2 linked regions of the Oreochromis niloticus genome follow. The protein of the gene in region 2 interacts with the protein of the main gene of each other region in a pairwise test. Links are inferred from orthologs where the notes say so. Each region holds a gene or a part of one and is shown on either strand. Other genes may lie near its edges.

What was found.
Region 1: the proteins of atf4a (region 2) and snap29 interact in a two-hybrid assay, tested with the Homo sapiens proteins (2 studies listed by BioGRID and IntAct). The link is inferred for Oreochromis niloticus from reciprocal best matches to the Homo sapiens genes ATF4 and SNAP29.

The regions. Positions count from the first base shown.
Region 1 is NC_031977.2:26,077,553-26,085,533, forward strand, and holds the start of snap29 (synaptosomal-associated protein 29), read right to left. Parts: upstream 3,023-7,981; 5' UTR 2,884-3,022; intron 2,803-2,883; exon of another isoform or gene 2,641-2,802; intron 1,315-2,640; coding exon 1,078-1,314; intron 939-1,077; coding exon 745-938; intron 415-744; coding exon 329-414; intron 245-328; coding exon 140-244; intron 46-139; coding exon 1-45. Other genes in the region: pi4kab (phosphatidylinositol 4-kinase, catalytic, alpha b), read left to right, coding at 3,160-3,357, 4,942-5,058, 5,636-5,729, 6,038-6,126, 6,228-6,300, 6,386-6,648, 6,811-6,877, 7,626-7,774 and 1 more. UniProt on the Homo sapiens protein: SNAREs, soluble N-ethylmaleimide-sensitive factor-attachment protein receptors, are essential proteins for fusion of cellular membranes.
Region 2 is NC_031971.2:9,245,060-9,252,534, reverse strand, and holds the start of atf4a (cyclic AMP-dependent transcription factor ATF-4), read right to left. Parts: upstream 3,077-7,475; 5' UTR 2,895-3,076; intron 1,930-2,894; 5' UTR 1,817-1,929; coding exon 1,768-1,816; intron 1,512-1,767; coding exon 1,197-1,511; intron 212-1,196; coding exon 1-211. Other genes in the region: uncharacterized protein LOC106097202, read right to left, coding at 5,478-5,900, 6,221-6,356, 6,448-6,518. UniProt on the Homo sapiens protein: Transcription factor that binds the cAMP response element (CRE) (consensus: 5'-GTGACGT[AC][AG]-3') and displays two biological functions, as regulator of metabolic and redox processes under normal cellular conditions, and as master transcription factor during integrated stress response (ISR).

The sequences.
Region 1 (7,981 bases), on a different chromosome or scaffold from region 2:
CAAGTCCAAGATTCTTCAGTCTACCCAAGCCTACACACATCTCATCTAAGACATTCACAAAAGACATCAGTTCAATTACAGCAGACAAACTTTATATAAAAACATGTTATGTAACTAAATAAGTGCAGCATTTCCCTACCTAAATTTTTGTCAAGAGTCTGGTGAGCCTCCTTCAGGTATATGTTCTTAGGGTATCCATTCTGTTGAGATGAGCCATCATCTATTGATGCAGTAGCTCCAAATCCTAAAACAATGAAATAAGAAATAGTGAGAGCCAGTAAGTGGTGGGAAGATAGCGTAATGTTGAGGTTCTTGTTCCAACACTTACCTCCCGTATCCAGTTTTCTTAGGTTGGGGTGGCTAGCTTGGTACTTATCTTCATTTTCTCTGCTGCTGGCCAAGGCAGTCTGTAATCTGAGAAAGTCAGATAAGAATTGTTCAAACATTTAGGGAGAGACGGTCAATAACAAGTTGTACGCATGAAAGTAAAAAACAAAAATGAATTACCTGAACTTCTAAAAGAAGTTAACATTACTTTAACACAAATTCAGAGTAACTGTTTTAATGCTTTGTTGTAAAATATGATAACTTGCCCCTACACATAACAGCATATCAAACTTTAATATATTGAAACTCCTCTATATCACAGAACTCTTTGATTTGTTAAGGAGTTAAAACATGCAGAAATTAAAACTGGATGATGCTACCACACCTCACTGACACAGAGAATAAAAACAAACTTACCTTTCACTGGCCTTGTAGCCCTTTGGCTGCTCAGGTGGTGGCTTTGTCTCTGGCGTTCCCTTAAAATAATTGACAAGGCCGCCCCACACACTCTTAATACTGTTAATGTGCCTTTGACTGGTCTTCAGGTCTTGATCCATGTTATCCAGCATCTTGTCTGTCCTCTTTATAGCCTCACCCTGTCGCATCAGCTCCTGTAGACAAGAAGGGACTAATTCAGGATGAGGTATGGGAAGACGGGGCCTTTAAAAATAACTCTTTGTTGATTGTCGCCTTTTCAAAGACAGTGTCAATTCTTTGTACAGTAGTGTGAACCTTATTCATTTAAGATACCTCTGCAGTTTCCACACCCATCTTCTCTGATTCATAGATGAGGGAAAGTGAGCGGTAACTGCTATCCACAGCAGACTGCGCTGTACGCATCACTTCCTGCTGGAGACATCTCTGCCTCCTCTCTGCTTCACTCAACCCGCTGTCACTTGGCTCGTCGTCAAACCCCCTACTTTTAGGCTTGAAATCCTCCTCCTCGTCATCATCTGCAAACGGGTTGTGGGATTTAGGGTAGGCCATCTGTGGAGCAAAAACGAATGTTTTGGTAATTTTAGCTAAAGGACTATAAGCCTTTCAACTGTATCACATGATCATCAAGTTACATGTTTTTGTTACCTGTAAATAATGGATTTTAGATTGCTTAAAACTAAAACAACTTCTTGGAACACAATAAAACTATAAACAGGTTAATAAAAGATTAGATATTTGGTTCCAGTCTTGATGATCTTTGGCTTTTTTCAGCTGCTCCCTTTATGGGTTCCCTAAACAGATTATCTGCCACAATCTGACCCTCTCCCTGGCATCCTCTTCTGCCACATAAACCCTCTGCATGTCCTCCTTCGCTATATCCATGAATCTTCTCTGTGGTCTTCTTGTTTTTCCTCTTGCCTGTCAGCTTCATCTTTAACATGCTTTGTCCAATGGATCTAATATCCCTCCTCTGCACATATCCAAACCATCTCAACCACGCCTCTTAAACGTTGTCTCCCAAGACTTGATAATCTTTTAAATTCACTTATTCACTGATTAAATCCTTCAAACAGTCTGAGTGTTGTTTATTGTGACTTCAACTAATTTCGCAAAAGCAACAGTTGTCTCAAGGTGCTTTACATTGAAAGGTAAAGCCTATAATAGCAGAGAGATAACCCAAATTATCCCCTCTGTGTAAGCAGAGGGGATCCCCTCCGTGTAAGCAGAGGGGATCCCCTCCTCTCCCCTGCCCTCAACTTTTACTGGAAGAGACCTCCGGCAGAACCAGGCTCAGTTAAGCACAGGCATCTGCACACATATCTAGCCATTCCATCCATTTTCTTCTGGTTATCCAATTCAGGGTCATGCGTTAGACTGGAACCCATCTCACGAGTCATAGGGAGAAATGCAGAGCTAACACACAGGACACTGCTCCTGCTTTTTAAGCCAGCTTTCGAAGCTAATTGTTTTGGTAATATTTTGATTACCAAGTAGTTTTAAGTCCACTCTTTGGCACAACATGTTGAATTCCATGAACTGAATAAGCGGAGGAAAATGGATAGATCGATGGATAGATCGCACCTCGTCGGGAAGAAAAGTTATGTACTATATTTTGGGATCGGATAGCTGAATACCGGTAATTAAACGATGCGTAACATAATACATCTGCTATTTAGATAATAATTAGTTTCATTACAACAATAAGTTTTTGTTGATAAAAGAAGGTTAATTGTTCATTTCGAAACTTGTCTGAACTCGTGCGATTACGAAAGCTCCAGCGTGTTAGCTTCGGCTAACTTCAACGTTGTCCAACAAGTAATTCGAGCAACAGTTAGGCTTGTCAACATATTTCACATTAATCATCTGCAACAATACCTGCTGTGTTATATTAAGAGGAGAAAAATAAAACAGTATTGCAAGTCAAGAAATGTTTGATGTATCGCCGGGGTGTTGGTTTGCTAGTCAACTGTTAGCTTAACTGCCAGTCAACTAAAACGACCACATCCGCAAGCGTCACCACAGGCAATTTTCTCTTATTGAACAAATGCTGTCTAAAACGAAAGTGTAAAAAAAAAAAAAAAAAGACACAAAAAAGAACGATTAACTTAACAGACGAACCTTTGACCACAGGAGCCGTGGCAGACGCTGTTGTTGCTCTATCAGCTGACTGAACTCTTCCTATCGCGTTTGATGACGTTGCACACACACTGTCGCGACAGCTGATCTTGCGTAAAGGAAACGCACACCACGGCGATATTGGGGTTACTTACTGATAAAAACCCACGCAGGTTGTAATGTAAATAATATAAATACAATCCATACATTTGCTTAATTTGATCTATTTCAAGCCCTTTGTGAGTGAGTTGCTACGGTAACGAAGAGCCCCTGTTAGAAATGTCCCTGCTGAGTTGCCGTACTGCGGCTTTCCCAGGCAGCCCCGCTCGCTTGTTTCCTCTCAGCGATGAATTGCGCTGGTTTAATGTAGGGGTAAACATGTCCGTAATGGGAGGTGGTACGAGGGGGTTTTATTTTAATACAGTCCTGTCGCTGGCCCGCTCATTGGCCGCACACCGCCCCGCACCGGTCGAAAAGGTGAGAAAACAAGCTTGAGCTCCAAAAACACGCAATAATTAACCATGTTAGTAATTAGAAGCAGTGGCAGGGTTGTTCAGGGTGTAGCTGCGCTTCCGCACAGGCGGTGGCTTATTTTGATCAACGACATGACAACCAAGCTAACATTTAACAGTTATGTTTGTATGTTTGTGTGCGCGACTCCGTGGTTAGAAATCTCTAAAACGCGAGCCGTGGTGTCCAAAACCCTGAAGCAGAAAAGTGGGCAGTGCAGAGGAAAGTGGCGTTGCTGTGTGGTGCCTGTTACTGCATCGGACGGACAGAGCGGTCAAGCTTGATCGGCACTGCAGTCAAACAGGTTTACAGAGAAATGTTTGAGACAGGAGTTCATTCACAGGCTGCTCTGTTTGTCTTTACTGCTATCAAAATCCGCCTACATGTGTTATATAGTTGGAAACCTGTTGCAGATTGATAGTTGGGTCTTGCCAATATAGGAAAGGTTTTTAAAAAAACAAAACAAAACACAATGGGTACATTTTGTAAATGAAAGTAAAGGGTATTAGAGGGGAACATATGAAGCCATTATCAATAAGCTGTCACCAAGTGTTGTAACTTTAAGGGCTATTATGGGTTATGTTATGTAATTCCCAGTTCTACTGTGTGTTTGAGCTGTAGGGAGGAAACTGCCTAGCAGTTTATCTGATATCATAAATGCATGTATCTTAATATCTCTGGCTTGCTGGGTTACACAGTGTGCATAAAAGTGTACAGATTCCAGATGTCATCGGGTAGATGATCAGGTGACCCTGAGCCATCCCTTAGTTAAGCTGTAATAGGGCAAGGTGCTGGAGGCTTCTCATGATGCACCATGTTTCTTCTTCTTTTTCTTTTCACTGTCCCTGTGTTTATATCTCACTTTACTTTTAACCCTTAGTTATTATTAAGCCCTGGCTCTCTTCCACAGTGTCTTATGTCCTGTTTCCCACCCCCCACCCCCAAGCTGTCTTGGCAGATGGCTGCCCTTCCCAGAGTCTGGTTTTCCTTGAGGTTTATTTTTGTTAAAAGGGAGTTTTTCCTAGCTGCTTTCGCCAAGTGCTTGCTCATAAGGGAGGGTTGTCTGATTGTTGGGGATTTCTCTCTATTAGTGTTGTTGAATTTAATTGAACAGTGCAAGTCTTAACAAATATTACTTTCATTTGAACATACACTCACTCTGAAACATCTGGAAGTTTGCTTCCACAACTGAAAAAAAGTATTTTGCTATCTGTAATTCAAAACTTTTGGTAATTATCTCAAAACTTTTACTTAGTAACTCATACTTATTAGAAAATGACTTGAAATTTCAAGTTATTAAGGGTAATACTTGAGAAAATAACCCCCAAATTTTGACTTATGGATGGTAACACATGCTTGTTTTTCAGTAGCAGAAACAAGCTTCTATACAAACAGTTTTTAACACTTGACATATTGTCTAATGCTGTAGTGTTATGTTTTCATATGCTGTGTGACACAAACACACTGGGCTGTCAAGTGAGATAAATCAGCTTAATGTGTGAATATTACCAGCCTGGACTGTTACTTTAATATTCTTTTTTGGCCTTTTAGGTCCAGAAGCTGCAATGTATGTGTCCAGTGGAAGTCCGTGGTGTGTTCACTCTGGATGTGCGTCGCAGAGATGCTGTTATTGCACTGGCTGTGTTTTTGGTGGAATCTGGCTTACAGGTGGGTGGTTGTCAGTAAAAGGCTGAGGAGTGTTTTGAATACAGTATTTTCATTTTACTTCAAGCTGTTATGGTAATACAGTAGATTTAAGATTTCATAGTTTAGGTCATTAGATAGTGAAGTATTGGCATTGCATATTGACACAATACCAATTTTCTATTTTCCTAACTGCTTATCAAACTCTGTTTCACAGGTATAGTAATTGTAATATTGTATTAGAACTATTAGTCCACGTTTGCTCCTGCGCTCTCCTCGGACTCTACATGTATCCCTGTGATAAGCTTATTCTCATAATCTGATTAAGCTGGCGATTAGACATGCAGTTAGCCGTGTAAGCCGCTAACCTCATCACACTTAGACACAGTTGGGAAAGCTTCCTTTCTGTCTGACAGCATAGTGCTGGATGCCTTACTTTTATTTTTAAAGCTGTGATACACTTTCTTTGACCCAGATTTGCTTGTGTGAGATAACCTCGTTGTTTTGATCCGTCAGTGCTTGTCAGGCATGCAAAAGTGCTGATTTTATGCTGCCGAGTCCACTTGTTTGTGGTGTGTAATGATTTGTTTTACTCCTGCAGCACAAAGACATACTTGTTTCTTACTTGCTGAGCCTACTGAGAGGGCTGCCACGGGTCCAATGGATCGAAGAAAGCTCAGGAAAGAAAGGAAAGGGTAAGAAGAATCCTCTTATAGTGAGGCTTTTAGTTTTACAATAGACTCCTTTTACTTGTGGCAGTAGAATTTCTAGCAATTCTTATTAATTAATTGTACTGTATTGAGATGTATTACACTGGACAGATGGGTTAATTTATACTTGAATTGCATATTGTGAACTGCTGCTTCTGTTCCACTTAATGCTGTGTTGCTCTGTATCTGATGTTTACATTTTTGGCAAATCTGCTTATCATTATTTCTTTTCTTTTGTTCAACCTTATGAGGCATTCAATTCAACTGTATCTGTGTAACTTTCTGCTCCTCAGAATTTCTCCCTGTAGCAGAAAACTTCAGCTTCTGTCTAGTGACTCTTCTGTCAGATGTGGCTCAGAGGGATCCAGACTCAAGACAAGAGGTCTGTTTAAAAAGTGGTGATAAATCGTTATATTATTCTCAGGGTTGGGGTGCATTGCATTGAAGTGCTAACTCACTGTTTTTGCACTGTTTTCCCTATAGATCTTAAACACTATAATGGAGGTCATGCAGGCGTTACAGGATATGTGCCAAACACCGGATAATCATGACAAAGGTATAGATAGAAATGCAACAAACATTCTGACTTTTGCTTTTAAAACAAAAAAAAGAACCTTAACGCTGCTCTTTTTTGTCTGCAGTCTTCCTGTGCAAGTATATTGTTCCCAGCCTGCTTGGCATGACTCGGGCATTTGGCCGCTACAGCCACACAGATGAAGCTCTGTTATCCAAGTTGTTCCCCAAAGATTCTCCTCAGGCACGATGCGTTACAGAGGAAACAGAGGGTGTACGGCGCAGATCCTTCAATGACTTTCGTTCTATTCTACCGTCCTCACTGCTTACAGTGTGCCAGAGTGATACTCTGCGCAGACGCACCGGGACCAACCTAGATTCATCTGCACAGGTCGGTACATGTTGCCGGATTCAAGACGTGTTTTGCTTGTTCAGGATAATTAGGGGAGAATCCAGAGCAATAATAGTTTTATTTGCTTTGTTAATTTATATTATTCAATGATGTTGGTATGTTTCGTTACCCATTAAAGTTGTGTAATGTGCTTTCAAACAGATCAGTACAGATCCAGGAGGCCACTCACCCTGCTCTCCTACAACTCCTAGTCCACATTACTTGGAAGGTAAAACTGAAGAAACAGAAGTTACTTTAAAAATAATTGTGTCTTAGTTTTTAGTTTGACTCTATAGTCTGGTAATTCAGCTCAGCTTGTTATTATCAGCTGTCTGTCAGCATTATGTAACAACTGGGCACTTTGTTTTAGGTTTGTTAGGGTGAACTGCAATATCCCCCATACTGTAACATTGTAATAAGCCTGACAGTAAAAACGTTGTAACTGTGGTTAGACTTTTTTGTTTGGGTTCATGCTGAGTTTTATAGCTGCTACGTTATGCCAGATTGATACTAAGGCCTTTAATTGCTTTATGCCCGAAGTGGTATTTCCAATCCCCTATTACCCTATAAAATTGGAAATACCAATTCATGCTGTTGTTTGTGGTCAGATTTAGAGTTTTGTGACATTTGCTGTATTTCCACAGATTTCCTGTTAACTATGCTAGCATTCCAAACTCCTTTAGAGAATGTGTTTTTTTTTTGTTTTTTTTTTATTGTCTGGGACAGACTCAAAAAGTGTTTTATCTCAGTAATTCTGCACTTATAATCTGCTGTATTACAAGCCCTAATCTGTTACACAGAAAGGTTTAATTGTTGCTATGGAATGTAAATTCAGTAGAATTATGTGTAACAAAAAAACCCCTATTTTACAAAATGAACTATTTCTATATTATTGAAATAGTACCCGCTGAGATCTAATGGTCATATTTCATCCTACTTGTTTTTGTTAATAATTCTTCTGCTCCCACTGATTTCAGGTGCCTATTTTCCAGACAGCAACACAGTCGACCCTGACTACTATTTCTCTACAGTCAGCTCCAGTTTCTCGGTATCTCCACTCTTCCTGGGGGAAGGAGAAAATGAGGTGGAGGTGCCTGCGGATCTGCTCCGACAGCTCCTTGCCATGGTGCAGTAGCCTACTACCCATACACCGTTTACAGCTCTTTAAATCTTTTACCGTTGCTTCTCATCCAGTTTATGTATCTTGAGCCTTTACAGTAGTTGTGTGCAATGTTGGCTTGCAGGTGAAGAAGTTTGTGTCCGAGTCATTTTTGAAAACTCTGGATGCCACTGTGACAGAAGTCATAGAGGTAAGCATATGACCGCTGTCTGT
Region 2 (7,475 bases):
AAACTCAGCTCAAGGCTGCTGTGTGGGACGGGGATGGTTGTGTTAAAGGCATCTAGATCTAAATCCATGGAGGAGTCCAGGGAAGCCAGGAGATCTTCAGGGGAGCTGGGAGACTCATCAGAGGAGCAGGATCCAATGAAAGACTCCAGGTCAAATTCACTCAGGTCGATTTTCTCTGACATCCAGTCCATGCCGGCAAAAGCATCATCTGCTGACAGATATTATTCATTAATACTCGCAATAAACATTAAGAAATTTGGATGATTATTCTTACAGTGAATCATTTCTATGCAATACTCCATACAGCTAATTATTTGTTAAATACCAGGGTTGTGAATTGTACTGCATCAATTTTTACAGCATATTTAAAAAGCCGTATGACAATATCAACACTGTGGGTTATATTCATGTTACTACATATCACAGAAAAAGCAATGCACGGATGTAAATTACTGATGTGGTTACACGGTGGAAGCTGCTATTTAAAATCTTGACCCAAGATACAATATCCAAAAATATTACGATAGCTGCTGGCTGCAAGCATCAACAAAACATCAAGTGTTTATTTTTTTTTATATTGTCAGAAACATCACAAATTTCCTTGAACTATTGCGATGATGTTTTGAGACTTTATAACCCAACCCTATTCAACACATGACCTCAGGCACATATTTGATCTCTCCCTCGATTATGTGTCTGACGTTTACAAATACTCAAGTGAGACTAAATCCACAAAACAAGGAACTTCAACTGATGCCAGGAAGCACAAAGGGATAAATGTGTTATTGCACAATGACGTCTAACAAAACCAGTTTGAGCCGGTCTTTGCGGCACAACTCTGAGCCACACCCGCCACTCAAACCAATAAAAGTTTGTTGCCCTACAAACATCCAGGTTGCTCACCCACGGCCTTAACGTCAGCCCTCAGCCTGCAGGCAAACCTCAAATACTTAACTGACAGTGGGCCTCTCCTCTGAAATATTCACAGCACAACAAATGCTCCCAACTTTATAGTCTAATGAGAGCGGAAGATGTAGTTTGGTCCTAAACATACTCCAATTAGTAACCTTCCATCATTTCTTTTATTTGGTTTCTATTCAGTTCAACAACTTGTCAAATTATTTGCTTTTGAAAAATAATTGTTAAAATTTAGGACTTGCCCCCTGCTCATTAAACATGTATTTTAAGGCACTCACCTTTGCCATCATCTGCTCCAACATGGGCGTCGAGCAGGTCGCCGGCACCCAGCCAGGAGAGGGACAGCGAGTCCGCTCCGGCCTTGGTTCCCAGGAACGAGGAACAATGAGTGGGAGGAGGAGAGGGAGATGGGGAGGCCAAAGACAGCGGGGAGAAAGACATGGTCTGATAAGGGGACGAGGAGGATGGATAAGTGGACAAAGAAAGGGAGGGCGAAGCTGGCGCCTTCCCCTCTAGGGAGGAGGGAGAAAGAGCTTCTTCTTCATCTTGGTCCAGAAGGGGCCCCATGGGGTCAGCCATCAGAAAGGAGGGCCCTGAGAACAAAAGATCAGCCCGTCAACTTCTAATTTGGGGCATCCAATACATACAAATCTGTCATTCATCCAATAACTCACTAAAACATCTAACCCATCTACAGATAATGCCATGCTGACCATATGAAACTGTACTTCATTGGCTTTAGTATTGTTGGGAATGGTATTACCATTACCAAATGTTATGCAAACAAAGCGCCACATTCAGCAATGTTTGTACTAGTGCTTTGGCAATGTGTGTCATCACAACACACACCTAAGTACAGGGCCTCCACGTCCTCCAGGGCTAGCTGGGAGAGAGTCATGGCTGCTGCTGGTCAGTGGTAGCCGTGAAAAGGTGTACAAGAACAATGGTGAGTCGAGAGGTCCACGTATGCTGTCGACGGCAGCAAAGCTGAGGGTGGTTGCCGGGAGAGACCTGGTTGGAGGGAAGAAAACAGAAATCATGTTAATGAGAGAAAAATGAGGAATATAAGCAAATGTTAGTGTTGATTCATATGGAAACTAAAATGAAGTGACACATTTTATTGTCAGAAGTTGTGAAATGATATATTCAAACTTTATGAAAATCTGATGTCTGGCAGGGCCAAGTTTATTTGTAAATGCAAAGTTTCCCCAGTGCAGGTGTACTTCCTGAAACAAGCACATTTTTGACTGACAACCCTTGTGCAGACAATGTAGGCTTCTCTGGTAGTATGTACTAGGGTCATTAAAAGGAGTTGACATCCCTGTCATGGGGGAGGGGGGTGTCTAATTTTGGCTAATCCGTTCCCCTTGAGCGTCAAAGCTGTATTGATGGGAAACTCCGCCCTCCACCGGGGGGGATAACTTTGCCTAATTTGGTCATGCTTTAGCTGGTAACTCCACCCACGCCTATGAGTCATGGCGGAGATGTGGGAGGGCAAACCGCCATTTTCACAACAGAGCCATCTGCGCGAGGCGGGGAACGAGCTAAAAACCCACAGCGCGCGCCATTTTGGACGCCACGTTGCCAATGTGAAACGTATACAAAACACTAAAAATGTTTTTAGTACCACACTGACAACCGTGTCGCAGCCACTGAAGAAAATTAAAAATTAAAATGAGAAGTCTAAAATGTTTTCAGTGCCCAATCGACGGCTCGTTAGCATGATTCACAACACAAAGTAAGGCGCCGGCTCGGACTACTTCAGCTGGTATACTGTAATTTGACACCCTAGCTCTAAACAAGGAACTATGACTCAAAACACACTTAGCAAGTTTTTTTCACAAAAACAAATAGCCTTGATCAACAAGTTTAATAGCCAGTGACACATTCTAGTTGACAGATTAGTTACTACAAGAAGTGGCTATAATTTTTTTCTCTTTAGAAGACTGCAAAAATGTCGATAAAAAATTACTTACGCCATTTTGCCAGAAAAAGCCAGTGCACGTAGCCGTTGCACTGCCGGTTTGTTGCCGCTGCAAGGTTAGCTGCCGCACGCCTCTACACTGCCATTTTGGCCCGCTACAGCTTCTACGCGTAATGTGTGTTTACTTCAGGAGCTGTACGAACGAAGAACAGGTCGAGCCGTCGCGTGGGGGGTTATATATGGCCGAAGTACTGCTGCGTATATCGCTCCGCACCCAGCGCGAGGGCGTTTGTTCACTGTGAAACCAGCAGCGCGAGTGGGAGGTCTTCACAACAGTCAACAAAAGCGTGGCCACTCGACCATGCTGGTTAACTTAAACAAACGAACATTTTTTGCGAGTGGGATCCCTCCGCCCGACTGATGTTTGTAACTGGTTGGATGAATCGCATCAAAGTAGATCCACATGGATGCTGTGACGTAAAATATAGGTCAAATCCAGAATGTAAACATTGAGACGAGGCAGTATTTTATGGGCCTGGAGCTGTTTTATTGTTTGTAACAAAACCTTTCAAATCGCATTTTTGCCATAATATTCATTGTACTGGAGCGCAGGTGTCTATTGTTTTAACAGGTCGACGGTTAATTTAGATCACAGCGTGCCCCATTTTATATTTTATTCACATACAGACGGACATGATTCACTGCTCATGTCTAACAAATGTAGGGTCACACCCTTGTCATTTTAAGCAGTCTTTCTCTGGTCGAACAAGCCTGGTGACTATTATTTGGACTGAACAAGACTGTGCAGACTACAGAGCGAGGCCCACTTCATACATTTCATCATAATTATTTTGTTTCCACCCTACATGATGGTTTAATGTGGCTGGAATAATTTTGTAAAGGGAAAATATCATTTTAGATGACTGTCAAAGTAGTCAGTGAGGTAAATAAAATGCTGATTGTAGCTCAAATGCACTGTTTCTTTTTTCAAACCAAAGATGGTGTTGAAGCCAAATATTAGAGCAGCCCCCTAAAACCCAAAATTGGTGTCTGAATAAAATCTTCAGTTTTGTTTCTAGATACACTTGTTAGAGCCAGCCATGGTGTAATAAACAAGGAATGATAATAAGGCAAACATAGATAAAACAACCTCCATCCATAGTTGAAATAGGGGTGAAAGATCCCGATATAAGCTGCAGGACAGCGGATCTGAAAGTACACCTGGGTCTGGTTTGTGGTTCTCCAAAAACAGTTTCTCTTTCCAAGTTTTTGTTGTCGTTTTTATGTCACTGAGATTTTACCCCCACGATAGGTGAAGGATGTGAGACTGGTATCAGGAAGTAAAAGAGACCATTTCTGATCATGGCTATTTTTAACTATTCATGTTATGAGGGAGCCTTAACTATGCTGTTGCAAGGGATTCAATAAGACACTATTGGTTCTGAAGGTGAAATTAATTTGGACCCAAACTCTTTTTTTTTCAAGTGACAAATTTTTCACAACTCAAAGAAAATGATAATGATAGAGTGGAAATGTAAAAAAGTTTATAGCATAACTAGGTTAATCAGTCAAAAATTGAATGATAGAATGATAGGCAGAAATATTTGATTATACACTGAGAAAGGGTTTGACTGCATTTCTGTAAATTATCATATGGTTTGTATGACACACAGTCAGGTCTGGTGCCTGAGTAACTTTATGGAGAAGTAACATTTAAAATGTTTCATTTTAAGCTTCCAGTTAACAACCACTCACATTTTTGTGTAAATTGTTTTTAAATGCGACATGTATAACTATACCACATATAAAGTCAAGCTAGGAATGATAAAAGTCTATGTATTTTAAAAATGTGTACTCAGCATCAGCTGAAACTTTTTAAAAGAAGGACTACACTGCCCCCTGGTGGATTTTGTCGATCTTTAATCGGTTTATTTAGTAGTCTTTTTAAAAAACATGTCATTCGATTGCGTTTAACCCTAGAACACTATCGCTATAAATAGTAACACAATCACTAATGCCGGGTGATTTTTACCCGATATAATATAACCAATAAAAAGTAATCAAATATATCAAAATATGACAACACATGACAAATTAGAGTGGTCTTCTTTTACTTTCAACTGTGCCATGTCTAACAAAATGAAAAAAAAAAACAACCCTCCTAAAACAAAATAATGACTCTGGAAAGCTGGTCTTTGGTCCACCCATTCCTGGGAAATTTGAGACTTCCCTGGTGAAGGCACAGGCTCCTCGACACACAAACAGCTGCAGGAGAGAGAAATCATGTAAATGTATTTGCTCGGGTGTAAATCACCCAGCGATAGTGTTCTAGGGTTAACAATGCGTTTGCATAACACCTTATCTTAAGGTGTTAACTCATCTTAATAGGTGAAAACAGCTAAATTAAGGGAGGTTAACACAATCTCAGTTTTATACAGCATTAATAACCATAAACCATTTAAAAGAAACTGCTTGAAGTTACAATTCCTAAAGTTGCACTAAAAGTTTTGTTCTGTTTTCGAACCTGTTGCCAAAGAGGAAATATATGTTGATCAATAAACTTTCGTAAAACTGAAAATTAACATTAAAAGACAACCCCCAAACAAAAGATATTCAGGTGGAGAAAAATACCCTCCTAACAATACTTCTCAAACAGTTCTTTCATTTCGATGAACTCATCCAGTCGTTCCTGGAGATCCACCGCCAAGGAGCGGAGTTTCTTTGCCAACTTTGACTCAAAGCCCTTCTTCACCTTGGTTCCATCTTTTCCTTTGATGAAGTACATATCCATGCCGAGGGCAAAGCCTTCTATCATCCCAGATGGCTTGGAGTTTGCCTCCAAGACCTTGGCACATGGCCCTCCTTGACCAAAGAACTCCAGCACCTTGGAGGCCCTCTCTGACTTCACCTTGGTCCTCTCAAGCATGATGACACCATACTGCCTCAGCTGCTCTATGCCCTCATGGACATAAACCAGTTTCTCCTGAATGCCCTTACTGAGTGACTCGTAGTCAGTAAAGATCTTTTCAATTTTCTTCTGGTCCTGGTTGCAGTTCACCTGGAAAAACATGCTTCACAATCAGTTCAATACTAGAAATTCAGATAACTAGAGTGGGTAGTTTCCAGTTAGTACCCTTTTTTAAAAATTGTGATAACATAAAAACAGGGCTTTTGATCTCAGGAGAGTTATTACTGTAAAAGAAGACATTCAGCATTTTAGATTGAAGTCCTGGAACTCCAAATTAACAAAAGAACAAAAACAAAAGTGAACCAGAATAGATTTAAAAATGTATTTTCTCTTAAAAAGTTAGGAAAACCTATCAACCTACAAAAACCATGAACAAAGATGTTTTAAGGCGGTGCCTTAAAGACCATCACCTTATTTGCGATGGCTGCTGATGCACCAGTAACACCGCCGGCTGCAGCCACGCCGACCCCGACAGCAGTTAGTGCCAGCTGGATCTTTTTACTCACGTATTGACTTTTCGTAGGAGTTTGACAGACTCTCAGCATCCTAATTAAAGAGAAATGATTTAAAGTGTCTAAAACATGACAAAACAATCACCTAATATCAATTTAATGCTGTATTTATTTTAAGTAATTACCAGGGATTCATTTTCATCATCAAGCTGCATTTGATGGGGTTTAGGAGGCAGTGGAGGGCGTTCACCTTCATCCTTAAAACACTGATCCAGCATCTTAGAAAAAGAGAAACAATCCACGTTTGTTAGATGAACCTTAAACACGTTAATCCTGTTTGAACAGTGCACATATTTTATGTGTTATCTCACATGACAGAGAGTTTGATCAGAGACACCAGTTTCAGATTCTATGAATGCACTTCAACTGCTTTCAGATAAACTACATTTCTGTGACACATTAAAAGCATTCATTGTGTGAGTAGATGCTGAAAGAAAAAAAAAACACACTAGATATAGACCAGTGGTACCTTCATTTTTTCCACAAAAACTTCATTTCCTGTTGAACTCTTTCTAACAGTCCACTTCTTTGGTGGGACTGGTGGTGGACTCGAGCAGATGTCCTGAGTTTAAAATAGAAACAAACAAACAAAAAAAAACAAAACAATCCACCAAATAATTAAAAATGATTAGAATGCAACCATATATGTTTATATATAGCCACTGCTTAAATTTCTGAGCGTGTAGGCAACTTAACCCAAACCTCTCCAGATTTCGTGGGAGACAGGGGAGCACATTTTCCTGGCTCATCAGTCTTAGGACTGATTGGAAGGGAAATGTGTTTTCTTGGCAGGGGAGTCGGATGTGGTAAGGGAGTTGGAACCTTTGGCTGGAGAAAAGAGGGAGTATAATTGAAGGTGGTCATTGAAGATAGTTATGTAACACAGAAGAAGTTTATCAGAGTAGAACTGTGGTCTACAATTTCAATGGCCCCCTCCCTGAACGTATACTTTTAGAGACCATGAGTGCATGTTCATGATACAACATTGAGTCAAATCTAGTGATCTATATATTTTTACAGCGAAATTTGCCTCAAGATTTCTAAGGAACTACAAATCTCAACACATTATATTTCAAGTCAGAGTCAGCTTGCAGAGCTGAAATTCAAGACAACCAAACTGTTAATCAACCTGGTCAGGCCCGCCAAACAAGGC